Linked DNA regions of Ovis aries. The protein of the gene in region 2 interacts with the protein of the main gene of each other region in a pairwise test. Links are inferred from orthologs where the notes say so. Each region holds a gene or a part of one and is shown on either strand. Other genes may lie near its edges. The genes, in order: MYOT, TRIM63, TCAP, TNNT1, CKM, MYBPC3 and GMEB1.

Region 1 (4,133 bases), on a different chromosome or scaffold from region 2:
GGGGTGGGGTCTTGAATCTGGGTCTGCAAGCCTGGAATTACAGAAGGTTGCAGTGAATCAGAAGCGACCTTGGTCTGTGCCTCCTTGTTGAGATCCTGGGAATACAGTGCTCCTGGCTTTGATGGAGTGGCCTTCTCTTGAAGAATATTGTTCCTTCAAAAGAAGAAAGTGATTCAGTTACAGTATTTACATAAAAATGGTACTGTTTAAGATCTTTAGGAGTTTATGTGCTTTTTTTTCTTAAAGCTTATGTACTTTCAAAGTCATCTCAAGGTGGAACTTTTCTGGCTTATAGACTTTCCATTCCTTTATGCGTTGCCTTTGCACAAATGACTTCCACTTGGGAATAAGAAAAAATAATTCATTAGTGTTTGTTTGCCTCTGGGTGATTCTTCAAGCACACCTGGGGGCTTCAAGATGTAGGAAAAGTTTTGATTTTGAGTTCGCCAAGTGTTTGTTGATGAAAAAAAAATTTGTGATGTTGCTCAGTGTGATAATTTTATTTCATATTTAGCTTTTGACAAAAGCCTGCAGTTTCATTAGCCACAGAGAGTTACTGATTTAAAGTTATTAACAGTTAAATATATTAGCTTCTATTCAGTTTGAATTCTTCCCATTGCTCATCAATACCAATGAACAGCTCTTCTGATGCACCATTAATTCATGCCTTGGTGATCTGTGATGAATCACATGGTGAATCCAGGCGAGCAGTGTGCTGCTTTTCTAAAGAACATTACTGTTCATATTTGCTCCTTCATCCTTTTACAATTTCACAAAGTACAGCAAACGCCTGTACTTCACTGTTGTCAACCATGAGTGGATTTCGTTTTACCTTATAATTCACTGCCTCTTTTTCTCCCTTTGATTCCCAATTGACCATAGTACCAAACTAGATGATAATTAAGGAGTGACTGCTTTCAAGTATCTCTGTATGTATATAAGTTACTGTATTCCAGAACCCTTTGTAGTTTTTGTTATTTTTTGATTTTATTATCTAGTTATTGGTCTTGCTGTTCTCTTGATTATTTGGTTTCACTTTAAATTATTTTTGTGTTTAGTATGTATTTTAGACTAAATTTTGAAATTGCTTTCATTCCTGTATTATTTTTTTCTTGTGAAGTGGCAAACAGGATGTACAGAAGGAATTAAGGCAGCTTTGAAGCTAGCCTATACTTTTCCAGGAAAAGGTGGTTGCCATTTTTCTTACTTAACAGTGCATTGGCACTCCTGACTTTTGACAGTAGGTCCCCATTTTTCCTTTGATGGATCATTTGCCACTAAAATCAGCCTCAAAGACATATTTTCACCTGATTTTTTCCATTAGTATGGTAAATCTGGGAAGGACTATATATATACTTCACACAAAAAGACTAGCCCCATAAATTGTTTTAACATGGATTCTGTTATTATTCAAAATATCAAGTAATTTAGTTCAGAATATGTTTAGTTTGCTTCATATAGTATAAACCAACACTGAGGTAATGATAAATCAAACTTTTAGCTAGTAAAATTACCAAATTGTCATCATTGAATCATAGTCTTATAATTATTTAATGTCCTCTCTTGAATAAAGTATCATTTTTAGTGAAAAATTTCTAAACCCATCAACTTGATTTTCAGGTTGTATGTATAGTTTAGAGTTAAACAGTTTTAGGAAAGAACAAAAAATGCAACTAAACAGCCAAGAGAAAGATTCTATTGAAAAAGGCACTTGAAAAGTCATATATTTCTTAATTTTGAATTTATGAACACAAGCACATTCAACTAGGGTGCATTTTAGTAATTAACTATTATTAAGCCTTGAAATTACTGGAGAAAAACATCCAAAAGGAGGCTTTAATTAGATACTCTTAAAAAAAGAGACTATTTGAAGGCAAGTAGTTTTATACTATGGGTTTACTCCATTGCAGAATTGAATCCAGTGTTTGATTCTAAATTCCTTTTTGGGCTGACAGATCATTCAGATTAATTTCAAATAGCAAGGAATAAACTGTTAAACAAATAGCCAGTAGATATTTTCCAGAAAGTTCCCTGTTTTACTTTACGTGTATTTTTAGAATGTCAACTGTCTTGTACATTTTGATATCAGCTTACATAGTTAACAATTACTGTTATTTTTAAAAAAATTCAATTAAAATATATTCTTTCAAATGTTTCATTTTCATGTCTGAAGAAAATTTTGTACAGATGTTCATGCAGATAACTCTGGAAGGTTTTTCTTTGTGTTTGTAGTTACTGTTCAACAATCAGTTCTATAATCCTTGTTTTATGACAGTATCATTTTATTCCAAATAATGTTAAATAAATTTCAGAGATTTTATTAGTAAAGTTCTATTAACTCTCCTGTTTAGAAAAATCTTAACTTTTCCCCCTATCTCTAATATACCACAAACTTAAACAGAAAACTGAGGATATTTTGAAGCTATAGAACATTGCACAGTTACAGTTAGGCCAGGTGTCCTTTTTCAAAGAAAACTGATGATTGAAAAATAATGACACACAACTATCTTTCCTTCTACCTTTTTTAATGCCTTATAGTTTCAGTGGAATGAACAGGTCTCATTCTTTTCAAATCTTTGTATAATGCCATTATGATCTTGTGGCTTTTGAACTTTTTATCTGAAAATCACCTTTTACATACTGTTCTGATTTGGACAAAAGACAAAAACAAAACCCAAAACTGAAGCAGGAATAAAGAAGGGACTTACCCGAGTCCAGAGAGTGCCAGCTGGGTTAAACCTACTACTAAAGGGAAGGAAGAGGCATCCCCTTCCTTCGCAGACTAATCTAGTGGCTCTGTGCTTAGTATTATAGCACCACTGACTTTTATCAGCTGCCAAGCAGTGACATCTGATGTGCTTGCCTGTCCATCTACCTATGCTGGCATGTCAAAGTAAGAGTCCACGATAAACAATATCTCAGATGTCTTAGTGATATTTAAGGAGTGGGATTACATGAGCTTCTCTTGCAAGCCTCTTTATTTTAGATGTGAACTTTGACTAGGAGCTTTAGCAAGCACATGTAGGGGGGACAGCAAAGAACTGAGAAATGGGAAAAGGTGTAGAGAAAACTCATTTTTTTTTTGTGATGGGGGCTTTGATCTTCCTTGTTGAAAAAAGGACTGAAAGGGAAATAGTATTCTAAGACTGACACCTGACTACTAAGACTTCTCCAGAAATAAGACCACTGATGGATGGGCTTCAAATTGATTTCTGTTAGATAGCTATTCATATGAAGACCTCTTTTTTTCCTCTCTTGCCAAATGGAAGGAGAGGTGGAGTGGGATTCAAGCAGTTTGTTTCAAGAGAGGGAGTGTGTCTAGGCAAAGGCAAGAGCAGAATGATGGTGTCATGTCACTGGGAAGGTGGGGAAGTGGAAAAACACGATTTGGTCTGTATAGCAAGTTCTCTGAATCTGTATGGCATACAGATCCTTGACCTTATACTTTTATTGACCTTATACCTTTATACTTTTATTCTAAAAGAGTTGAAACACTTAAGAAACTACCCATCAAGCAGTGTTTACAATTAGGGCCCTGTCCTCTAGCTCTCTTTATCTTCCTTACTCCTTATAGTAACACAGTTTCCTTTCTCTTTTCACCAAGGAGACCATCTTAGCCTTTTATGTTTCCATGTGTGTGTGTGTGTGTGTGTGTGTGTGTGTGTGTGTGTGTATGCAGAGAAGTATAAAATTATGAAGAAAGCTTCAGATCAACAAGAGGTGGTAGAGAGGGGTAGGTGACATGAGGATCAGGCTAATCAATTGGAATTATCCATATTTAGTGGCTTTAGCTCTGGTATGATTCTGTTGTTTAAAACATAATTATTTATTCCCCTCCCTCATGGTCTTAGAAAAGGCCCTGATGCTGGGAAAGACAGGGCAGTAGGAGAAGGGGACAACAGAGGATGAGATAGTTGGTTGGCGTCACTGATTCAATGGACATGAGTTTGAACATGCTCTGGGAGATGGTGATGGACAGGGAAGCCTGGCGTGCTGCAGTCCGTGGGGTCACAAAGTGTTGGACATGACTGAGTGACTGAACAACAACCCTCATGGATACTCCAGCCTTGATGTAATTGCTGTGTACATCAGGGTCCAACAAATAGATAATTGAGCACAAATGAGCCACTTAA
Region 2 (4,026 bases):
TGTTGAACTCCGGCAACATGAGAGGCAGTAGCAGTTAAGAATGTTCACCACGGAGTCGGTCAGACAGGCTCCTTCTCAGCTTCGCCACTTGCTAGCTGAGTGGCCTCGGACAGACCTCTGAGTCTCCGTTTTCTCATCAGAAAATGAGGGTAAAAATGGCTTAAAGGATTACTGTGAGAATTAAAATGGGGATAATGCATGGAAAATGCTTAGTGCAGCACCGCACACAGTGGATGCTCAATAAATACTTGCCATCTTGAACACTTCCCATCAACATCCTATTTGATAGTCATAATAGCAACTCTTACTGTCCGTTTCTGGAGACAGAGGAAATAGAGGCCCAGAGACTCACCCAAGACCCTACAGTGCGTGAGTAGCAGAGTCAGAGTAGAGGACACAGTTCTCTGGTTGGAGCTTTCTCAGACAAGCACTAGTCTGTCGGCTTTTGGGGGCACAGGACACTGCCTGCAAGCACGTATTTGGTGAGGGTGTGGGACCGCAAGGGCCGTGAGGGCAGCAGCCTCTTGTCAGGACGTGCTGATCAGTAAAGATCTCCTTGGTAGCTTTATCTCTCCCCAACACGGCACAACCTCCACCAGGCACACATTCTGCCCAAGAACGAGTGGCTATTTCACATTCAGGGAGAGCTGGAGCTAGATGGGTTGTGCTGGGTCCCAGCAATTCTCCTTCTCAGCTGCGAAACTCTGGGTAAGTGATTTTACCTTTTTGAGCCCCAGCTTCCTCCTCCATGAAACAGGGATGATGAAAGCCCTGCTAATGCATAGAACTGCTGTGAAGCAGCAGCAGGAAGCATTCCTGGTGTTTGGCACTGCTGTTATCATTATAGAGAAACTGGCTTTGTTCTCACTGAACGCTTTCTCTGCTCATCAGGGCCACCTATCTGGCCCAGTGGCTCCCTCTCCCTCACTCTCCCTCTCACATCTCATCTGTCCCCTGATTTTGTTCTCAGTATCTCCTAGGAGGACAGCCTAATGTCTGGGTCCCCTGCCACTCACTGGATGACACCGAGAGCCAGGGCTGGGGGATAAGATGAGCCTCTGTTCATGCCTAAGGGAGACAGCTGTCTGGACTAACTGGCATAGCTCTTCCAGCTAGGGGCCTGGATCCAGAGCAGGTGAAGGAGGATGGGGCTCCGAAGCGCTGGACTCCCAGGATGGGCCGGGGCAGGCTGACGGCCTCCCCGTGGAGGGAGCACTGACCTGGAGCACTCCTGTTTGTAGATGTCAATGATGTTCTCCACCAGCAGATTCCGCTGCAGGCCGTACACTCCGTGGCGGTCCATGATCACCTCGTGGCGGCAGGAGGGGCAGCGGAAACGGCCTCCAGACATGGCCGCTGAGCCAACCCGGCCGGTCCAGTAGGGATTGGCAGCCTGCTGGCGACAGGGGTGGAGGTGAGGCCGGGGCTCCCCCTCAGCTCCTTCCCTTTCTGAGCTCCGACTGTCTTCCCCATTGATTACCACCACCATTCTCATCAAACCACATGACTTAAAGCTTCCCTCGGCTCAGACCGGTAAACAGCCTGCCTGTAGCGCCAGAGACCGGGGTTCGATCCCTGGGTTGGGAAGATCCCCTGGAGAAGGAAATGGCAACCTACTCCAGTACTCCTGCCTGGAGAATCCCATGGATGGAGGAGCCTGGCAGGCTACCGTCCATGGGGTTGCAGAGTTAGTCATAACTGAGCAACTTCACTTTCTTTCCTAATATGAGAGAGGCAGCCCACTTACACAGGGAGTACCTGAGAAGCAACTAAGGAATCAACAGGTTTGGAGGTCAGCAGACCGAGGCTCAAGGCAGAGTAATTCTCGGAATGACTTTGGGTGAGCAACCTTTTCTCACCAAGCCTCAGTTTGTCCATTCATGAAATGGGCATGTAATTAGAGCCAGCTCTTAGAGTTGCTACTTTAAAGAAAAAATAGAGACCATTCTGTAAAGTGCTTCTGGGGAAATTTGAGGCCTGTCTCTCAGCCAGTATGGACACCCACTCCCATTCTTTTCTTAAGGAGATGAAGCCCCTCCTGCTCCCCATTATAGGAAACAGTTTCAAGGGGAAGATGCCTCTACTGTCCAGTGCCTCTCAGCCACCCTCCTCCTAAAGATCTGGGCCCCCTGCCACCGCGGAGCTGGCTCCAGCCCCTGGGGTCTGGTTTCTCTCTCCTTTCTGCCTGCCTCTCCCACTTATCACTTGAGGCATTTGACTCCTGATTGGAGAGTCAACTGTGGTGCTCAGGACAGGGTGGGGTAGCTGCAGGCAGGGTGGGGAGGGGACAAGTGCGTCATGGAGAAGGAATGGGTCAGCCAGAGCCACCTCCCCAGCCCCATCGACCCCTTCCAGAGACTTCGGCAGGGGTTCACTGTGAGGGGGTTAAAAACAAGTCCAGTTTGGAAGGGTTCTGGACTAAGAGAGAAGTTTTCTTTTAGCTTTCATCACAGGAAGACTAAGTAGCTGCCTGGAGCCCCAGTTCTACGCCAGGCCCAGCACTGACCTGGAAGATGTCGTTGGCACACTTCCGGCAGAGGTTGTGCTGACACGGCAAGATGACCACCGGCTTGGTAAACATCTCCAGGCAGATGGGGCAGATCAGCTGCTTCTCCAGGTTCTCCATGGGGTTTCCATCCTGGATCAGGCTCGACTTATAATCCATGTTGTCCTGGGGACAGATGTGGGGACCCACCTGGCTGCCTCCTTCACCTGCCTTGCTCTGAGCAGACCTGGGGGTCTTTGTCACAGAATACCCGCCTGGAGCCTCTTTGCCTTCTTCTCCTGGCGCCTAAATTCTGCCTTGGTCTGAGGCCCCTCTGATATTTATAGCTGGGCCCTGGTCACATGAGCCCCAGGAGGAGACCAGCTGAACATTCCGGTGCCAAGTGGCTGGCGAAGCTTGAGTTTCCGCCAGGCCTGAAAGACCAACCCTCTCAGATCACATGTAAGGATGAGCAGTCGCTGTTCCCTCAGGACGGGGGTCGTAAACAAGAACAGCTTGTTCGTGGGCAGGCTTGGGGCAGGACTGGTACCCAGAGTTTCCTCCAAAAATTAGTCTCCTCCTACAGCAGGCTGGTAAGGAGTGAGGGGGCCACTGGGATTTGTGGGGTTAACAGCCAGTGCCCTCTTACTGACCTAAATAAATCCATCCCCTTCTCTGGAGTCCTGGGCAACTCCCCAGATAAGGCCTACCCCTGAGCACAGCACACTGCTAAAGACCCTGAGATGTCCCCAACCAGGGCTAGCCCATCCCTCCATTCCTTGGCCGCTAATTCCATATTTTTTCTTTTTTTCTTTCTGGATCGCATGTAGGATCTTAGTTCCTCAACCAGGAATCGAACCCACACCCTTTGCAGTGGAAGTGTAGAGTCTTAACCTCTGGACCTCCAGGGAAGTCCCTAATTCCATTTCAATACAAGGGTTCCTTCCCTTGGTACAGAGTCTGTTTCCTCATTTTATAGATTTTGACACTGAAGTTTACGAAGGAAAGGATCTTATTCAAAGTAATCTGGGAAGTAAGTGGCAAAGCCACAAATCTTATTCATTCATCAGACACCGAGCGACTAAACAACAGTGACAATCTATACATCAGGCAACAAAGTGAGAGATAAATGAGGAAGCCTTTTCCCTGCCCTGAGAAACTCACAGGCTAGGAAGGGAGACAGACACAAATAACTGTCATGGAGTGCCCCGAAGGACCATGTACCCACTTAGACATTATCCAAATATTCCCCTCTGCTTTCCGCACCAATTTAAAATTTTCTCCACATCCTTCTGGACCATCTTCCATGTCGGCTGGTAGAAGTTGTTGTTCAGAGGCAAAGTCAGACTCTTTGCGATCCTGTGCACTGCAGCACGTCAGGCTTCCCTGTCCTTCACTATCTCCCAGAATTTGCTCAAACTCATGTCCATTGAGTCAGTGATACCATCCAACCATCTCATCCTCTGTCACCCACTTCTTCTCCTGCCCTCAATCTTTCCCATCATCAGGGTCTTTTCCAATGAGTCAGTTCTTCGAATCAG
Region 3 (3,177 bases), on a different chromosome or scaffold from region 2:
ACTGCAACAGCTGCAGAGGTCACAGACAGGAACCTGACCCTCTACACACTCACCCTACCCCCAACAACCCACCTTGGGCTCCCAGGCCACGGAGGGTGGAACACCTGACCCCAGCCAAGGATTGATTCTGTCTGGATTCAGAACCAAGAGACCTGGGGTCACTGACCCCATCCACACCCTGGCACAGCTGACAGTCCTGGTGCCAGCCCCCTCCTTATTCTCCATGAGATCATTTCAATAAACTCTGGATGCCAACTGGCCTCCTGGGCACTGCACAGTGCCAGAGGACTAGAGGCAGAGGCCAGGGCTCACGGCAGTCAGGGGGACTAGGCAGATAGCCACCCTGTTTACAGCTCTGTCCCTACAGCCCCTCCCCTCAAGCATGGGGTGACCCACTAATTCTGCCATATTTAGCTGAGATGCAGGGCCTGTTCCCAGAAGTGAGCACTGGGGGGGACACCAATGGGTGGGCCCCTCAACCACAAGGAAAGAGACGAAACTCTGGCACGTGATTGAGCATTTATTGCAGCACTAACAGAGGGTGCTGGGGGCTCCACCCTGCCTCTGCCCTCTTCACGTCCCCCTCCCTCCAGTCTCCTTCCCAGAGCACTCCAGATCCTCTTACAGTTTTTCTTCATCCTTTTCTGAAGCTGAAATCTGGACTGGGGTTACTCCTCTCAGGAACCTCTTGCCCTCATCAGCTTCTTCAGCCCTTCCTCCTAGGGCTGGGGGTACTTGGCTGTGCTGGCCCCCAGCTCTTCACCTTTTGTGCCCATCGTCCGCTCCCCTCCCTCCGGGAACTCAGGAGATCCAGGCATCCTGGCCTCTGGCTCCCTCCTCCCCTAGCCCCCAACTCTGGGCAAACTACGAAGCATCCGTGACCAGCAGCTCCCCTCCATGGTCCTAGCCAGGAAGGGCCCAGCCCAGGGCAGGCACAGTGGAGCCCAAGTCACAGTCCCTCTCAGCCTCTCTGTGCTTCCTGAGACATGGAGCGAGACAGGGAGCGACGAAGGGTGCCGGGCTTGCTGACAGGCACCACGGGAGGCAGCTGCTTGGTGATCTCGGCCACGTCCTGGCGGTCCACACACTGGCCTCCCAGGGCTGTTTCCAGTGCCAGCAGCTCCTGCAGCTGGATGGGTGTCTCCTCGCGCTCCTCCTTGGTGGCGCCCACCTTGGCGGGAGTGAAGATGGGCAGAGGCAGCACCCGCTGGTAGGGCAGCTGGTATTCCTGCAGCCCACGGCCGAGGATGCCCATCCGCATCACCAGCCAGGGGGAACGCTGCACCAGCGCCTGGCACTGCCCCTGCCGGTGGTAGGTCTCATGGCGCTGGGCATCCTCCTCATGCAGGGAGCAACTGGGAAGGAGAAGCGGAGGGACACTCAGCCCCTGAGAGCTGCTGCCCGCCACTCACCGGCGGGGCGACAGAGCTCCCTGGGGCTGCTGGAGGGGCGACTCCACTTTCCCCAGCAGGCACCCTCCTGGGCCCCACCCCCAGAACCCCTCAGGCCTTGTGCTCTGGTCTCCTGAGTCTCAGGAAGGGTGCTCTGAGGGAGAGGACGGGGCACTCCTGACTGGCCAGCACTCACCCCTCCTCAGGCCTTGTGGACAGCGTCAGATCCTTCCACTCCGCCCAGAAGGCCTCTCGGCGCTCACAGTTCTCCTCCGACAGCTGGCAGCTCAGCTCTGAAGTGGCCATGATGGCTGCTCACTCCCTCTGGGCTCTCCTCCTCCCAGGCCCTTTAAATATCCCCCTCCTCCCCCTCTTTCAGGGGCTATTTTCAGCCCCTCTGGCGTCAGATGCTATAAGCAGAGCCAAGACTCACTGATGGGGGACTCTGAGCCCAGGGCGGGGCTGGGGGGGGGGTACCCGGATTCTGGCTGCCCCCAGGTCAGAGGTCAGCTTCTGAGGAGATCAAGATGCTCCCGTGGGGGCGGGGGTCCCCAGAGTGACACCTCCAGGTGTCTGACACTCCTCAAGACACTACCCATGACCAGGCACATGCCCAGCCTCGTGCCACCTTGGCACTTGCCGTCTGCCCCACCCCTTCCCCTCGCCCAGGGAGGACATGTCTGTAAACAGAGCGGGAAACAGTAGGAACCAAGGGCCCCTCTGGGCGCTGTACCAGGCCGTCAGGTCCTGTCCCCGCTGCTCTCCTCTGCCTGGGCTCAAGGGCACATCACCCCCTGGACCGTGCCCCCCCACCAAAAGGGACAGTGCCATTCCTCAGGCGTCTGCCCCCAAAGGCCTGGCTCCCAACTGCCACCACCTCACTGGCAAGGGCATCGGAAGTTAATTCCACCCCTGGGATCCTGGACACGAACGAGGAGGGAAGCGGCCCCCGACTCTACCCCACTCCTCAGCTGGGGTGAGATGGGACTCCAGCGGTTCCAGTGGGTGGCAGCCAGTTCTGGCTCCAGCCCCCAAATCAGCCATAATGAGGCTGTGGAGTAGGGGGCGGCATCCACCCCCTCTGGGCCTCGTTTTCCTCACTTTCTGTTCACAGTGGCCTTACCAGAAGAGCTCTGGGGGCTGCCAGCTCCAAGGTGCCACCAGGCGGGGCCTGGCTCTGGTCCCCAGGGAGCAGGCCAGTTGAAGGGCTTGCAGGGACAGCCCCGCCCCCCAGAGCAGCAGTGTGTGCGACAGGAGGCTGGCACACAGGGAGGAGGGCGTGGGGGAGGAGCAGCGGGGGTGTCACTGAGTGGACAAAGCAAAGGGCACCAGGAAGGCCAGGGGCAGAGGCTGTGATGAGACCCTAGCAGGCAGGCCCGTGGGCACCCTCTTGATTACTGAGCACTATACCCGATCCTTGGTGCCTTCATCTTACACAGCTTTAGCAAAGTGGGAAATGGAGGCTCAGGCAGGCAGACCTGCCCGGGGTCACATGCCTAGCCGGGCCCAAGAGGCAACACCCCCACCCCTGAGTCTATGCAAGTTAGCACCTCAGGAAGCCTGCAGGGAGGGAAGGAGGGCCATTTCCTGGTGGTCCCAAGTGTGACGGGCAGAGAGAGGAGGTGAGCAGAGCCCAGAGGTGCCTCAGTGACCCAGAAGCCCAGGCCTCGCCTCCAGGCTCCTCCCAGCCAAACCTTCAGACCCCAGTATCAGCTGAGGCCTACTCTGGCTCCTTCCAGGTCTCCCCCTACCTCCCGCCTCCCCATCCTGGGCTGGAGACCTTAAC
Region 4 (3,500 bases), on a different chromosome or scaffold from region 2:
GTGAGCCTTTGTGGGTCTTGCCTTGCAATTTCTTTCTGCTGCTTGGATGTGCTGGCTGGAGCGCCAGCAGCCACGTTGGACCACGAAGTGATTTGGAAAATGGATGTTGGAGTAAAAGTAGTGGAGCAGAAAAATAGGGGGCTGAGTCTTTCATTGTTTTGTAGAATTGCCACACCCTCTGTGGACTACAAATCTCTTCTACGTAAGGAAACAAACCTCTATGTTTTAGGCTGCTATAGTCGGATCTCAGTTATCAAAGGCTAAGCTTATTCTGAACTGACAAAAAAGTCTACTGCCTTGAGCCATTAGAGGATGAGAGAACAGGTATAAAGTGCCTGGCGCACAGTAAACACTTGATAAGCTAGTTGTTACGACTCTTTTTATTCTTACTAGTATTCTGTGTCTTCTTTTTCCAGTTAATGGTTTTCTTTTGCCAGCTAATGGTTTTCAAATGCTCTCTCTTCTGTGGTGTATTTTATTTTAAATTTTTCTAGACCATCATATGCTCTCTATTGAATAAATAAAACTTAAGTAACTTGACATCCTCCAAAAATATCAGCGGACCCAAACAAGGAGCAGACGTGTGGTGTAGGGTGGAGAGCGGAGAAAAAAAGGAACATTCTCGACACACTATTTAGTCCAGGCCCCGCGATGTTTCCTGGGAGGGAGGGGGCTGGAGTCGACTCTGAATATCCATCTCCAACTCTGAGTGCAGGGGTCTGAAATCAGCGTCCTGGGAGCATTTACACCATGGAAATGAGCAGACGCTGAGATGTGGACTTTTAGCCTCTGGAGACCCACTTGGGAAGCATTTACCATCATAGTGAAAGTGAAGTCGCTCAGTCATATCCGACTCTTCGCGACCGCATGGACTGTAGCCTACCAGGCTCCTCTGTCCATGGGATTTTCCAGGCAATAGTACTGGAGTGGATTGCCATTTCCTTCTCCAGGGGATCTTCCCAACCCAGGGATCAAACCCAGGTCTCCTGCACTGTAGACAGATGCTTTACTGTCTGAGCCACCATGCCTCTTCGTAAATACGGGATGAAGAACACAGACTACCACCCCAGACTTCCTGGGTTCCAATCCCCACTCTTGTGCCTGCAAGCTGTGCAACCCTGGAAAGGTTCTTTAACCCCTCTGTGCCCTTTTTTGTTTGTTGGTTGCTTTAATGTTCTGGTTTGTTATCTCCAGCCTGAGGGGATAATAGTATAATGGTATCTACCTCACGGAGCTGCAAGCCCTCCACACGGGGCTACTGCTCGCTGACACTGCTCTGCTCTGTGATGTAGACTGTTATCACAGCCTCCTTTTACCAGTGAGGAAAGCAAGGCTCAGCGGAGGTCAACAACTGCCTCAGATCACATAGCTTAAGCGGCGGAGCCGGCGCTGACCCCGGGCAAGCAGTCTCCAGTACTGAGCTCCAAGTCCCCTCGCTTCGCCGCCTCTGGGGTGGCAGGTGTTTCTGACTTTAAGGGGCGTGCCTGGGCGCTTCAGACACAGAGGAGGCCCCCCAGGGAAAACCCTCCCTGGCCTTCCCTCTGAGGGCTTATCCTGACAGGCAGGCTGTGCCCCGAGTGAGCTGTGAAGGGAGAGACGGAGCTCCCACCAGAAAAGGTTTGCCTGGGAAGTTGTTGCCAGTGTGTCTGGCTTTAATTCAGGCAGAAGATGGAGCCCACTTGGAATTCCCAAGGGACACCATCAAAACAACATTATCGCCTCAGTTTTGGTCAGCCCTGTGGTCTGGTTTCCTATCATCTCCCAGATTCTATAGGTCTTGGCACCAAAAACATAGGTCCTACATCAGTGACACTCCACAGGGGAATGGCCCAGAGAGGGGGAGACGCCTGCACAGCGACACAGCGCCGGGGCCTCCGCCCACTCAGACCTGGGCCAGGGGCCGCCCATCTGCCTGTCTGCCACCCGGGCCCCTCCCGCCTACCGGAGCTGCTCTTCTCCCATGTGGTCGATGTTCAGAGGCTTTTTACGCTCAGACAGGATACGCACTTTCATCTCCCGCCCCGTCTGGCGCTTCCCTCGCTTCTGTTCTGCCTGAGGGTGGGAAGGGGGCACCATGAGGTGGGGGGGTGGCTCCCCAGCCCCTCCCCCTCAGACCCGGGGGTCCAGGCCCCCAGCCTCTCCTCCTCAGACCCCAGCTGCCTCCCCCGGGACCCCAGACCTCAGGCCCCAGCAGGCTGAACTCACCTTGACCAGGTAACCCCCAAAATGGGCACCCATGTTGGACAGAACCTTCTTCTTCTTGGCGTCGTCCTCGGCCCGCTTCTTGGCCTCTTCCTCTTCCTTCCGCATCTTCTCCTCCTGTGGAAAGAACGGGGTTCATCCCTGGGCCTCCCCCACCCTGCTGGACTGAGAGGGGAGGGCGCCTGAGGGGGCGTCAGGGAGGCCGATTCTGCACTGAGTGAATCAGGGGTCGATCAGACTCAAGCATGAGAAAGTGAGTGTTAGTCGCTTCAGTCATGTCCGACTCTCTGCAGCCCCGTGAACTGTAGCCCTCCAGGCTCCTCTGTCCATGGGATTCTCCAAGGAAGAACACTGGATGGGTTGCCATTCTCTTCTCCAGGAGATGTTCCCAACCCAGGGATCAAACCACGGCCTCCTACATTGTAGGTAGATTCTTTGCCATCTGAGCCACCAGGGAAGCTCATGAGAGACAAGGTCAATATCAGAACAGACAAGGATGCAAACACTTCCTCCTGCCCCTTTCAGGCCTGGGTGTGTGACCACCGGCCAGTTCTTCATCTTCTCCGAGCCTTAATATGCTGCCCCTGCCCCCAGGAAAACTTAACCTGGCGGGGTCGGCGGTGGGGGTGGGGGTGGGGATATGCTTGCTTTTCTCTGCATGCTCCAGCCTGCAGTGGCCAGCGGTGATCTTGCTGTGTGACCTATGTATAGGTACCTGCCCTCTCTGAGACTCACTCTCCGTTAGTCTCATGAGAGGAGAACAACTGTCCTCAGAGAGGCAAAGAGGGTAACTGGTCATGGGAGTCGGGGAGGGCGCAGAGTCAAGAGCCTGAGGAAGGGGCTCCAGAATGCCTTCACTGAGGCGTGACCACATCCGGAAAGTCTGCATTGTACAGAATTAGAGGCTCGCCCCGACCAAAGCCCTTCCCCACTGGAGGGACAGGCAAGGTGTGGGGCTTGCCCATAATTCCCCACCTGAATGAGCTTCCTCTCACTGCTGTAATCTGCAAACACAGTGGCTTAAAGCAATGTCAGTTTATCACCTTGTATTTCTGCAGGTCAGCCTGCAGTGGGTCTCGGGGGATAAGCCACGGGGCACACAGCCTCCTTCTAGGGCCGTGAGGGGAGAGTCACTCCCTTGCCTTTTCCAGCTTCTCAGGGCTGCCTGCATCCCTTGGCTCAGGTCCCCTTCCTCCGGGAGACCAGTGCTTTGTCTACCACAGCACCCAATTTCTGTTCTTTAAAAGTGGTTTGAGGGACTTCCCTGGTGGTCCAGTGGCTAAGAATCTGCGCTTCCT
Region 5 (3,423 bases), on a different chromosome or scaffold from region 2:
GAAGTAGGTAGTGATGAGATGCATGCAAGGTCTCAAACCAGAGGCCCGGAGGGCAAATTCAGATATTTTGTTTGACGTCCGTTTCTCCCTAGAATGGGTCCTGTGTTTGAGATCTGAGCATGAGTGATCAGGAGCAGAGGTGACTGAGAGCTCTCGGGACCGCAGATTCCCCATAGAGCCTTGTAATGTTTTCATTAGATGCTGTACCCTGAACTTGCCTCATTTTAAAGATGGGAAAAGATGAGAAGGGAACAGCTACCCACTCCAGTACTCTTGCCTGGAGAATTCCACCGACAGAAGAGCCAGGAGGGCTACAGTTCATGGGGTCGCAAAGAGTCAGACACGACTGAGCGACTAACGCTTTCACTTTAGAGATGGGATAAAACGTGTAGCCCTAAGACGTGCCTAGAGACGACAAGCCGCTTTGAGGTCACACAGTAGCCAACTGCCGAAGTTTTTTCTCCTTCTCCTTCAGTACTAATAACAATCAAACCGAACGCTAAGGCCACCATTGCGTTTATTTGTTGCTTAGAGTGGAGAAAAAGCAACAGCTCAAGGTGAGCTCCGTTAGCCAGAGCTCCTGATGGTGGGCGGAGCTTTGAGAAAAAAAAAAAAAGGAGACCGTAAGGGAGGTTTTTCATTGGCCAGAACCCAGAGACTGGAGCCCATTGGTTGGAACTCTGGTTGGAACTGGAACTAGAAGGATAGATAGAGCCCCAGGTGGACCAAACGTTTATAGGCTGGGCTCCAGGAGGAAGGGGCGGGCCTCCGGTGGGCTGGGTCCTCCCTTAGGGTGGGGCTCCAGCAGTCGGCGGCGGGCTGGCTGTGCGCCTACTTCTGGGCGGGGATCATGTCGTCGATGGACTGGCCCTTCTCCAGCTTCTTCTCCATCTCCACCATGAGCTTCACACCATCCACCACCAGCTGCACCTGTTCTACCTCGGACGAGCCCAGCCGGTCGGCGTTGGACACGTCGAACACTGAGCCCACGGCAGCCGTGTCCACACCACCTGCGGGAGTAGGAGGCAGGGGCTAAGGAGCCGGCAGAAATGCTTGAGCGGGGCCTGGAACGCGGGCCGCCGTGCCAACCGCGCAGGCGGACGTCCTGGGTGAATGCCTACTGTGTTAAATTCATGCAGTTTCCTGAGCGTCTGTCTATTCTCGGGCTGGCTTTAGGTATCTCACCCCTCAAACATCCAACACTGTGGGTAACGGAGTTGAGCTCAGGAGCCGGGCTGCCTGGGGTCGAATCCTGACCATCTTCCCCTTTACAGATGGGAAAGTGAGGCCCCTAGGCGCCCAGGGACATACACAGTGTATATTAACCATATAACCATGATGGTATATGGACTTCTCTGAGATAAGGCGTGCTGAAGCCTATTTTCAGAGGAAGGACTGAAACTCACAGAGGAGCAGCCCTTGCCGCCCCCCAGAACCCGTGGGGATGCCCCCGCTTCCCTTCAGCCATCGCTAAGGGCCAGCGCTGGAAGCCGCAGGAGGGAACTTGGGCCGTACCTGTGCCTCGCTTCTGCAGGCGCAGGCGAGTGAGGATCTCCTCGAACTTGGGATGCTTGCTCAAGTGCGCCAACTTGACATGCACGCCTCCCCGCAGCCCGGTGCCCAGGTTAGATGGGCAGGTGAGCACGTAGCCCAGGTGCTCGTTCCACATGAACGGGTGGCCGGCCTTCTTGAATATCTCCTCAATCTGAGGTAGGGGGAGAGGACCCGGGATCAGCCCTGTGGGTGCCCCCAAATGCACCCACAACCGGGGCAGGGCTCCGAGGGACAGGGGGTGAGAATGTCAGTGGTGGTAGGACTCCGAGAGGGCGGGTCTGGAAAACCTGGAGACACGAGATTCTTGGGGCAGGGGCCCGACCGCACAAGTGATGGCTGGATTCTGACGGGGCTGGGCTTGAGGATGCCTTGAAGGCCGGTTCTTGTCCGCGGGGCTTGAGGATAGGGGTGGGGCCGGTTTTCCAAAGGGCGGGGCTTTGGAAAGCGAGGGAGGAGCACCGCTGAGGGGAGTGGCTTCGGTGCGGGGAGGAGCCGGGTTCCGAGGGGCGGGGCCCGGGAAAGCGGCTGGGGGGGCGGTCACTTGGAGTCACACGAGGGCGGGCACCCACCTTCTGCAGCCCCACGCAGAAGCGGCGGAAAACCTCCTTCATGTTGCCCCCCTTCTCCATGGAGATGACTCGGAGGTGGTCCTCCTCGTTCACCCACACCAGGAAGCTCTTGTTGTCATTGTGCCTAGCATCGGGCGCAGCAAAAGGTCAGGGAACCAGCTCCGCGGGAACCCGGTTCCCCTCCCTCTTGCAAACACACGGCCACCGCTAGGGGGCAGCGGGCCTAAAGGGCCCGAGGCCTGAGCATCTCAGTCTCAGGAGCTTACACCTTTAAATGTCACAGGACCCGTGAAATCTTGAATCGTGGGATCAGTGGCTTTCAGGGTCTTAATTCTTTGCACAATATTATAGAATCTTAGAATATCAGAATCGCTGAAAAACGGAAACCGAGAATCAGAGTTGATAAACCTTCCATGACATTGTGGCATCGCAGAAGGAGTCTTAGACTGGAAAACTTTAGGATCTGGAAATGTTTGAAACCATTGAATCACAAAATCTGACATTAGTGGAACCTGAAAACACTTAAAATTTTACAACCTATACTCTCCAAATTGTTTGAAACCGAGGTTCTCAAAACCTTTTAAAACCTTTGACTATCAGAATGAAGGCGGGGGCATTTTCCCTGATAGGTCAGTTGGTAAAGAATACGCCTGCAATGCAAGAGACCCAGGTTAGATTCCTGGGTCGGGAGGATCCTCTGGAGAAGGGATAGGCTACCCACTCCAGTATTCCTGGGCTTCCCTTGTGGCTCAGCTGGTAAAGAATCCGCCTACAATGTGGGAGACCTGGGGTTCTGTCCCTGGGTTGGGAAGATCCCCTGGAGAAGGGAAAAGCTACCCACTCTAGTAGTCTGGCCTGGAGAATTCCAGTCCATAGGGTCACAAAGAGTGGACACGAATGAGGAACTTTCACTTTCATCAGAATCAGGGATTAAAAAATTACTAGAAAGCCCAGCTAACAACAATAATTAGCAATAAATATCATGCCAATGGCCAGTATGGATACTTACTATATACCAGACACTTTTCTCAACACTTTGCATAAATTAGTTCATTAATCCTCATAAGAACCCCAAGAGCTATGGATTATCACGATCCCATTTTATAGATGGAGATTTGGGGCAGAGAAACATTAAATTACGTGCCCAAGATCACACAGCTAGTAAATGGCAGCCCTGGGATTTGAACCTAAGGAGTCTGGTTCAAATCTGAATTTCAAGCTTTTTAAAATGTGACATGCAGACCACAGGGAAGGCAGGAGCGGAGGGCAAGATGACCCTGGAGAATTGCTGTAGTGGTCT
Region 6 (3,500 bases), on a different chromosome or scaffold from region 2:
AGGGGTCGAATCCATGTCCCCTGCGTTGGCCGGTGAATTCCTAACCACTGGACCACCAGGGAGGTCTGAGAAAACACTCTGCACACCATTGAGCCAGGGCAGGGCAAGAGCTCCCTGGAGCCCTGGCTGGGGTGTCTGGTGAGGCAAGGGGTGCGTGGCCCAGCAGGGTCCCTTGAGCCACCACTGCCCTCTAGGGTCCACAAGCTGACCATTGATGACGTCACGCCTGCAGATGAGGCGGACTACAGCTTTGTGCCGGAAGGCTTCGCCTGTAACCTGTCTGCCAAGCTCCACTTCATGGGTGAGCCGGTGTGAGGGGCAGAGGGGCCCCTGCAGCTGGGCCTGGCCTGCACCCTGGTGCCACTTGCTCTTCTGTCTCTTGCAGAGGTCAAGATTGACTTCGTGCCCAGGCAGGGTGAGTCTTGGGCCCCGGCTTGCTGCCTCCCCCCACCCCGCCAGGGTCTCCTCTCCACTCAGCAGAAGCAAGGAGCTGGGAGTCGGGACCTGGCTCAGCCTGAGGCCCAGCCTCAGCTCTGCCACTCTGACCACAGGCCAGCTGTGGTCTATCTCAGCCTCAGTGTCCTCACCTCTAAAATGGGGACCCTGAAGTGGCTCCCCAATGGGGTGATAGGAACGCTGACCTAAGGTGGTATGTGTGAGCTTGCAGAGGACATCACAGTTGTGGGGTTTTATTATTGAATCTTTTTTGCTTTTAGAAGTACTTCTCCTGCATTTAGGTTAAACTGTAATCAGGCATTTTAGGATCTTAACTTCAGGAGACTCATCCAGGCTGAGGCAGGCTCCAGGTCAGGGCTTTCCAAACAGGGTTCATTAAGTTTGAGAAACTCTGAACCGTCCGTCTGTCTACTGCTTGTTGATTCGAAAAGTGCATTGGCACGTCAAAGGCTCTGAAAAGTCCTACTCAACTTGGTTTAACCCAGGGTTTCTTAAATATTTTCCATGGAAATTTTTTTTTTCTAGGAAGACACTGGTGTTCCCCCAAACACAATCTGAGAAATGCTGTCCTAGGTGACCCAGTGTTCTGAACCTCCCTGGGGCTTCCTGGGCAGGTGTTGATGGGCAGTGGTTACATGGGGGCATGTTCATCAGCACTCGTTAAGCAGGGTGCTCAAGTGTTGGCGTTTGATTGTATGCAAACTATACCTCGATAAAATCAATTCAGAAAATAAACCAGCACCCAGGGCATGTGCTTCTTCCAGTTGCCCCTTCTTTCAGAGGCCTGGGGCCCTTTTCTTCTTTCTCTGACCTGTCCTATCTCCCTGCCAGAACCTCCCAAGATCCACCTGGACTGCCCAGGCCGCGTGCCGGACACCATCGTGGTGGTGGCCGGGAACAAGCTACGCCTGGATGTCCCTATATCCGGGGACCCTGCTCCCACTGTAATTTGGCAGAAGACCATCACAAAGGTACTGTGGACCCCTCCCCCCATGCTCCTGTCTGTAAAGTGGGTGCATGGGCCCAGCATGCTGCCCACCCCACCTGCGCATGCCTTACAGCTGGCCGAGGGTGGGCAGAGACAAGGACAGGGTGCTTGGCCGGGTTCCCTCCAGGCCAAACCAGACCTTCCTCCTCCTCCCTCCCTCCTTCCTTCCCGTCCTGTTTCCAGGGGAATAAGGTCGCAGCAGGACCAGCCCCCGATGCATCAGAGGAATCAGGTGCCGGTGACGAGTGGGTGTTTGACAAGAAGGTGAGTGAGGCTGGAGGAGGCTCGTTTGCCTGCAGTGAGTTTCTGTCCACGTGGTGTCCACCCTCAGGCGAGGTCTCTGCTGAGGTGCCCCATCGAGCCAGCTGTGTTCCTGCCCCAGGCAGGGTCTCCACCCTCCACACCCCAGGAAGTCCTCCGGATTTGGGGGCTTGCTGGCTCTTGTCTTCCTGAGGCCGCCTTGACTTTGTGCTCCCTCCCCGCGGGGGAGTGGGTCCCTGGCCCTATCCGGTTGGATTCGCGGCCGGGGCACCGCTCCTGGCTTTTCCTCCTCCTCCACGCTGCTGCTTCCGCTGCCCAGCTGAGGTCTTTTGAGATCCTCACAGTAATTGTGTGAGGTCCTTTAGGTCAGAAAGGGAAACTGAGGATGGAGAGGACAGGTGACTGCCTGACCTTCTGTGACAAAGCGAGGGCCGTGCTCCGGGCAGGTGGTGGGAAAGGGTCTTGGATTAGATGCTCACACGATGCAGTTTCCACTCAGGCTGTGCCTCCCCAGCAGACCCGGGCTGAGCTCCGTGCCCACCTCAGGGCTGTCGGTGGCTGCAGAGGCTGCAGGAACCCCTGGGGTCTGACTTGAGTACCCCCCACCAACTTCTCCCCCACCAGCTGCTGTGTGAGACAGAGGGCCGGGTCCGAGTGGAGACCACCAAGGACCGCAGCATCTTCACCGTCGAGGGGGCTGAGCAGGAGGACGAGGGCGTCTACGTGGTCACAGTGAAGAACCCTGTCGGGGAGGACCAAGTCAGCCTCACGGTCAAGGTCATCGGTGAGGCGGGGGTCCAGGGGAGAGCACGGAGGGAACCAGGGAGGACCGGTCTGTTCAGTCCTTTAGTGTCTCAGCAGACGTCGCGGGCCCCTCTCAGATCCGTAGACCGGGTTGGGACTTGGACCTGGGGGCACACAGGCAGTGGGGAGCCATAGCGGGTTGATTGCAGGCTGGTGACCTGATGAGAACCGCATTCTGTAAAGGTGGTGTTAGGCTGTGGGGGCACGGGGGAGCCTGTTGGTTAGGGTGGTGAGGGGATGGGCACCGGTGGCCCCGGCTAGGCAGAGCACATGAGGGTCCACTCCCCTAGATGTGCCAGATGCTCCCGCGGCTCCTGAGATCAGCAAGGTGGGCGAGGACTCGTGCACGGTGCGCTGGGAGCCACCAGCCTACGATGGCGGGCAGCCGGTCCTGGGTGAGCTGAGGGCATGGGACCGAGCCCTGGGCGGGGCACGTGGGACGGGGGTGGGCTGAGCTGCAGGCAGACCAGCGTGCCTGCCTCCCCTTTCAGGGTACATCCTGGAGCGCAAGAAGAAGAAGAGCTACCGGTGGATGCGGCTGAACTTTGACCTGCTGCGGGAGCTGAGCCACGAGGCGCGGCGCATGATCGAGGGCGTGATCTACGAGATGCGGGTCTACGCAGTCAACGCCGTGGGCATGTCCAGGCCCAGCCCCGCCTCCCAGCCCTTCATGCCCATCGGTGAGCCCTGCCCCAGGCCGCCACGGCCAGGGCGCAGTACCCACAGCTGCCCTGTGGGCTGCGTCCACACCCCTCGTCTTCCTTCATTCCCGTCATCTCACAGGTGAAGGAAGGGAGGCTCTGAGAAGTAAATGACTTGCTTGGGGAGCCCAGCTGGCAGGGGGTGGAGCTGAGACTCACCTCTCCAGCCTCACTTTTCGCATCTGTGAAGTGGGGGTGATGACGATGTCTGCTTCACAGAACTGCTGTTAAGATGAAGTGAGAGCGCGCAGGGGCAGCATCTGGCGTAGATGTTTCTTTCTCCTGTTCCC
Region 7 (4,205 bases), about 2.2 Mb from region 2:
GAAAAGCAAAATTAGAAGGATGCTTCTAGTTCAACCTTCTACCCTAAGGTTGAGTCCTCTTTCTACAATACTCTGAATAAGTGGTTGACTAACTTCTTGATTAATACTTTCCTCAATAAGAACTCGTATTTTACTTCTTACCCCTCCCACACCTTGGAACTCAAAAGCAATATTATGGCTGCTTCTCTAACCTTCTGAGAGTTTACCAGAAAAGATAATTATAATCATCCACAGTAAGTCTCTCATTGTCAGTCAGAGACACAGGTCTGATCCCACATGGCAATTCTTACATTCCTCAGAGAAGCAAGTTTGGGTTGAATATCTCTTACTACCCTAAATACCATATTTTGAGCAAGAAACCCTAACCACCTCTACAGACTACACTGGCTAATTGGAAGGTCATTTCTTTGAGCTGAGTGTAAATTGAAAAGTGGCTCTTGTTTATAGCAACAAAAACTAAGGGAAGATGAGTAAGTTGCTCCTTTGGGTATTTCATGGATGGGACCTTGGAGTATTCATTGTGGAATCACACAACACTCTGTAATTCTAGGAGAACACACATAAGGGAAATATGTCAAACTTCTGAGAAAAGGAAGAATTATTTGTAGTTATTTTCAAAGACAAGACAGACACCTTGAGATTAACTACATGACTATTCACGTAAACTATCAAAATATTAAATCAATGATAGCTGAACTACTCTGGATTAAATTCATTTTTGTGTTCTGAAAAGTTTAAAAAACACGGCAAGATAGATGTAAGCACAAGTGTCACATGATCATAGGAACATGACAGTTGGTAGCTGAGAGGGAGTCATAGAAATACCATATATCCTGAAATTTTCTAACTCCAAAATGTATTTGTTTCATACTTTAATTGTGGTAGACTATGTAGCCTATTCTAAGAAATTTCCAACTTAAAAATTTTATTATTACATGAGGTCAAAACTCCTTTTTTTCCCTTCTTTATTCTGTTTCATGGTAACTCCCTAGGTGATCTAGGGCACTACCAGATGTAAGGAAGCCAACAGATCACTACACAGGACCACTGAGGTAAAAAGCCGGAGCAAGTGAAGTTTCAGATGAATCACTTAATAGTGACTACTCTGAAGGTGTTTGGAGAAGCAATTGCAAAAAGGGTTTTTTGAAGGGTCAACCTACTACAGTTGAGCAGATTTCTTCTTAGGACAAGAACACAGCCCAAACTAACCCCATGAAGCTGAGTACAAGTTGGCTATTCAATATGCTTGCTGTAAACACGAGTAAGCAACTAACAGGTAACTAATGAAAAAAGTCGTCAGTAGACAATAAATACACATAATTGATAAAAGGCTGAAAAATTAGGTCAGTCCAACAATTTAATGAAAAAGTTCCCCAAACGTTCCATAAGCAAAGAGAGAGAAAAGAATCCTGTGAGACTAAAATTAGCTGATCCTCTCTTTCCTTAATCCTCCAGGTTAAGGAGGAAAATGCCACTTCTTGGTTCTCCTAAATAAACAAGAGTTAAGGCCCCTGTTTGTGTCTGTTAGGAACTGTTTTTGAATTTCTCTCATCTTGAGAGAATGCCTCCTCCTCCTCCTTAAGACAGCCAAAGCTTCCCATGATCAAGACTTGACGTGTCTTAGTCCGGATGGATCACACGCCAGGACCCTCAAGAGTCTGCTCTCACCTCTCCTGCCCCTCAATTAGGAAACACCAGGCCGATTCCCCCGTCATTTTAGAAAGCAGGGATATGCTAGCCTTCTTCCCAACAATCATCTCTCCGGCCCTCAAAAACTCAGGTTTCCCCATCCACAACAGGCCACATCACCCTGCTCTCTACCTATATGAGGTACTCCAAACTCTTTTATTCCCTCACAGATCTGGACCCTTCTCATTCCTTCCTCTGGAGGCTCTGAGGTGTCTTCCTACCGCCCCCTCATCTAGGAGAAGGTAGAGGCCTGCTCAATTTCCCTTGGAGCTCTTCTTCCTTGTCCCCTGCTTACTGGACCTGTCACTGTGCCTTCAGGGAAGCACCTGCCTCTTTTCCCCTGGGCTGAATGGCCGAGGCCTCTAGGCGCCCCCGGTGAAGCCTGGACACTCTTTTCCTCAGCAGAACCCACTGTCTGCCCTGGCTGCCAACCCCAAGGCTCCGAGAGGTCCTCCAGGGCAGGCAGCGGGCTTCCTTCACTCTTCGCCGCCCCCTCCTTTCACCACTACCCCCTAGCCCGAGCGCGACCCAGGCCTCATCCCCAGCTCCTCATCAAAGGGCCTGGTGCTCCCCGGATCCCGCCTTTAGGGATACCCCCTGGATCCCCAGACCCCTCCCCGGGGTCCCAGATGTCAGGGCCTCTCAGTCCGGAGTCGCTCCGGCCCTTCCTGGTCCCTCGGCAGAGGACTTCCGGGCCCCTCGGTCCGGAGGCGCCGGGGCCCCCCAGTGCCAGGCTCGCCGGCCCCCCGCCGCTCTCGGCCGGGGGCCGGACCCGAGCGGCGCGGCCAGCCGCGCTGGGGGCGGCCCGGCTGCTCAGGCGGACCCAGCGGCAGCGTCCCCCCACCCCCCCGCGGCGCCGCGACGTCCGCTCGCTCCCCGGCGGCGGCGGCGGCACGCACAGGGCGTGGGGAGGCGCCCGCGGAGGCAGCAGCCCCCCGCCCCCTGCGCGCCCGCCCGCCCTCGCCGGCCGCCGCGCGGCCCCCGCGCCCGCCCCCCCGCCCCCACCCCACCCCGCGCCCGCGCCCGAGCGCCCACCCCTCCCCCTCCTCACCGTCTCCGTCGGGCGGGCGGGCGGCGAGCGGCCAGGGCGGGCGGGCGACGGAGCATGCGCAGAGGCCGCCACGGCCGCTACCGCCACCGCCGCCGCCAGGCCGGGCTTCAACACTTCCGGCCGCCGCCGCCGGCGAGCTGGAGCCTTAAAGGGGACGCGTCCCTATTGCCAGCCCGCGGAGGATGAACTTCAGCCGGAGAGTTTGGGGCCTTTATCAGAGCAGCTCCTGCTCTGGAAAATTAGTGTTGGTAGGGACGCCAGGGACCCTAATAACTCTTCTAACCCCACTTCATGGATGAGGAAAACGTGGTCTAAATTAAAGACACCTCATCCGCAATCGGGAACAAAGGCAGGACTCCCCTTGGAGGACTCTGCGTGCCCCCTTTCATTCCTCAGATCCGGTTATGAAGCTTACATTTACCAGACTTTTCAAAAGTGATGATCCAACTACCAGTTTGGAGTCAAAAGATCTGGTTGTGTATAGAGTCTGTAAGCAAACTCCTTTGCCCTCTCTGACGCATGCATGTTTGCCAAGCCTTTTCTGGCTGCGAGTTGGTTCTGGGTTCAAGTCAGAACCCATAAATTCTTTGGGGGTTACTTGACAGCTTTAAGCCCCTATTTCGTCTAGGACATAGATTGTTACTAGCGTTTAAACAAGTGATACTTGAAAATGCTTAGGAAAGTTCCTGGGGCCAGTCGTAATAATTAGCAAATATTAAGACCTTTGTGGGAATTTCCCTATAGGTCCACTAGTTAAAACTCCTTGCTTCCAAGAGGGGGGCCGAGGGGAACAGGTTTGATTCTGGTCAGGGAAATAAGATCTGTTCTGCTAATAAATAAAATTAGCTTAAAAAAAAAAATGAAGACCTTTGTTTGGCCGGACCTTGAAGAAGATTCCTTTATCTCATATAATCCTCTTGGCAACTCTACTAAGTAGTTTCTTTTCACTCCCATTTTACAGATAAAACACAGGAGGCCAAGAGAAATTAATGAACCCCTCAAGGTCACCAAACTTGTAAGCAGTATAGCCAGGATTCTATAGGTCCTTCTTTCTGTGGAATGTGTAGTTATGAGCACTCAGATGGTTGCTACCTTTATTAAGAATGAATGAGGTGGTGGTATGCAGGCACTTTTTTGAGTTGGGGGGAAAGAGTTGCTTCCCCATCTTGCCTGCTCTTACGACTCACATCTCTGTTCTGTATCATGAGGAAGTAACAGGAAGTTTTACAGGCTCTTGGTTCAAGAACAGGCGAGGCAGCCCAGGAGTCAGACAATAGAAAAGGATTTGGGGGCTAGACAACCTGGATTCTAGGCTTGGTTATCAAAGCTCATCACTGCAGATGGTGACTGCAGCCATGAAATTAAAAGAAGCTTACTCCTTGGAAGAAAAGTTATGATCAACCTAGACAGCATATTCAAAAGCAGAGACATAACCTTGCCAAAAACGGTCCATCTAGTCAAGGCT

What was found.
Region 1: the proteins of TRIM63 (region 2) and MYOT interact in a two-hybrid assay, tested with the Homo sapiens proteins (2 studies listed by BioGRID). The link is inferred for Ovis aries from reciprocal best matches to the Homo sapiens genes TRIM63 and MYOT.
Region 3: the proteins of TRIM63 (region 2) and TCAP interact in a two-hybrid assay, tested with the Homo sapiens proteins (3 studies listed by BioGRID and IntAct). The link is inferred for Ovis aries from reciprocal best matches to the Homo sapiens genes TRIM63 and TCAP.
Region 4: the proteins of TRIM63 (region 2) and TNNT1 interact in a two-hybrid assay, tested with the Homo sapiens proteins (2 studies listed by BioGRID and IntAct). The link is inferred for Ovis aries from reciprocal best matches to the Homo sapiens genes TRIM63 and TNNT1.
Region 5: the proteins of TRIM63 (region 2) and CKM interact in a two-hybrid assay, tested with the Homo sapiens proteins (2 studies listed by BioGRID). The link is inferred for Ovis aries from reciprocal best matches to the Homo sapiens genes TRIM63 and CKM.
Region 6: the proteins of TRIM63 (region 2) and MYBPC3 interact in a two-hybrid assay, tested with the Homo sapiens proteins (2 studies listed by BioGRID and IntAct). The link is inferred for Ovis aries from reciprocal best matches to the Homo sapiens genes TRIM63 and MYBPC3.
Region 7: the proteins of TRIM63 (region 2) and GMEB1 interact in a two-hybrid assay, tested with the Homo sapiens proteins (2 studies listed by BioGRID and IntAct). The link is inferred for Ovis aries from reciprocal best matches to the Homo sapiens genes TRIM63 and GMEB1.

The regions. Positions count from the first base shown.
Region 1 is NC_056058.1:46,995,438-46,999,570, reverse strand, and holds the start of MYOT (myotilin), read right to left. Parts: upstream 2,801-4,133; 5' UTR 2,709-2,800; intron 154-2,708; 5' UTR 1-153. UniProt on the Homo sapiens protein: Component of a complex of multiple actin cross-linking proteins. Involved in the control of myofibril assembly and stability at the Z lines in muscle cells.
Region 2 is NC_056055.1:240,758,646-240,762,671, reverse strand, and holds the start of TRIM63 (E3 ubiquitin-protein ligase TRIM63), read right to left. Parts: upstream 2,801-4,026; 5' UTR 2,666-2,800; coding exon 2,507-2,665; intron 1,394-2,506; coding exon 1,221-1,393; intron 1-1,220. UniProt on the Homo sapiens protein: E3 ubiquitin ligase. Mediates the ubiquitination and subsequent proteasomal degradation of CKM, GMEB1 and HIBADH.
Region 3 is NC_056064.1:39,784,825-39,788,001, reverse strand, and holds TCAP (telethonin), read right to left. Parts: upstream 1,718-3,177; 5' UTR 1,698-1,717; coding exon 1,588-1,697; intron 1,356-1,587; coding exon 962-1,355; 3' UTR 501-961; downstream 1-500. UniProt on the Homo sapiens protein: Muscle assembly regulating factor. Mediates the antiparallel assembly of titin (TTN) molecules at the sarcomeric Z-disk.
Region 4 is NC_056067.1:63,060,610-63,064,109, reverse strand, and holds part of TNNT1 (troponin T, slow skeletal muscle), read right to left. Parts: intron 2,320-3,500; coding exon 2,206-2,319; intron 2,053-2,205; coding exon 1,943-2,052; intron 1-1,942. UniProt on the Homo sapiens protein: Troponin T is the tropomyosin-binding subunit of troponin, the thin filament regulatory complex which confers calcium-sensitivity to striated muscle actomyosin ATPase activity.
Region 5 is NC_056067.1:52,741,457-52,744,879, forward strand, and holds the end of CKM (creatine kinase M-type), read right to left. Parts: intron 2,248-3,423; coding exon 2,124-2,247; intron 1,706-2,123; coding exon 1,516-1,705; intron 1,011-1,515; coding exon 832-1,010; 3' UTR 501-831; downstream 1-500. UniProt on the Homo sapiens protein: Reversibly catalyzes the transfer of phosphate between ATP and various phosphogens (e.g. creatine phosphate).
Region 6 is NC_056068.1:76,112,156-76,115,655, reverse strand, and holds part of MYBPC3 (myosin-binding protein C, cardiac-type), read left to right. Parts: intron 1-194; coding exon 195-301; intron 302-385; coding exon 386-415; intron 416-1,287; coding exon 1,288-1,427; intron 1,428-1,627; coding exon 1,628-1,708; intron 1,709-2,329; coding exon 2,330-2,489; intron 2,490-2,799; coding exon 2,800-2,904; intron 2,905-3,000; coding exon 3,001-3,189; intron 3,190-3,500. UniProt on the Homo sapiens protein: Thick filament-associated protein located in the crossbridge region of vertebrate striated muscle a bands. In vitro it binds MHC, F-actin and native thin filaments, and modifies the activity of actin-activated myosin ATPase.
Region 7 is NC_056055.1:238,529,968-238,534,172, forward strand, and holds the start of GMEB1 (glucocorticoid modulatory element-binding protein 1), read right to left. Parts: upstream 2,801-4,205; 5' UTR 2,741-2,800; intron 2,529-2,740; exon of another isoform or gene 1-2,528. UniProt on the Homo sapiens protein: Trans-acting factor that binds to glucocorticoid modulatory elements (GME) present in the TAT (tyrosine aminotransferase) promoter and increases sensitivity to low concentrations of glucocorticoids. Also binds to the transferrin receptor promoter.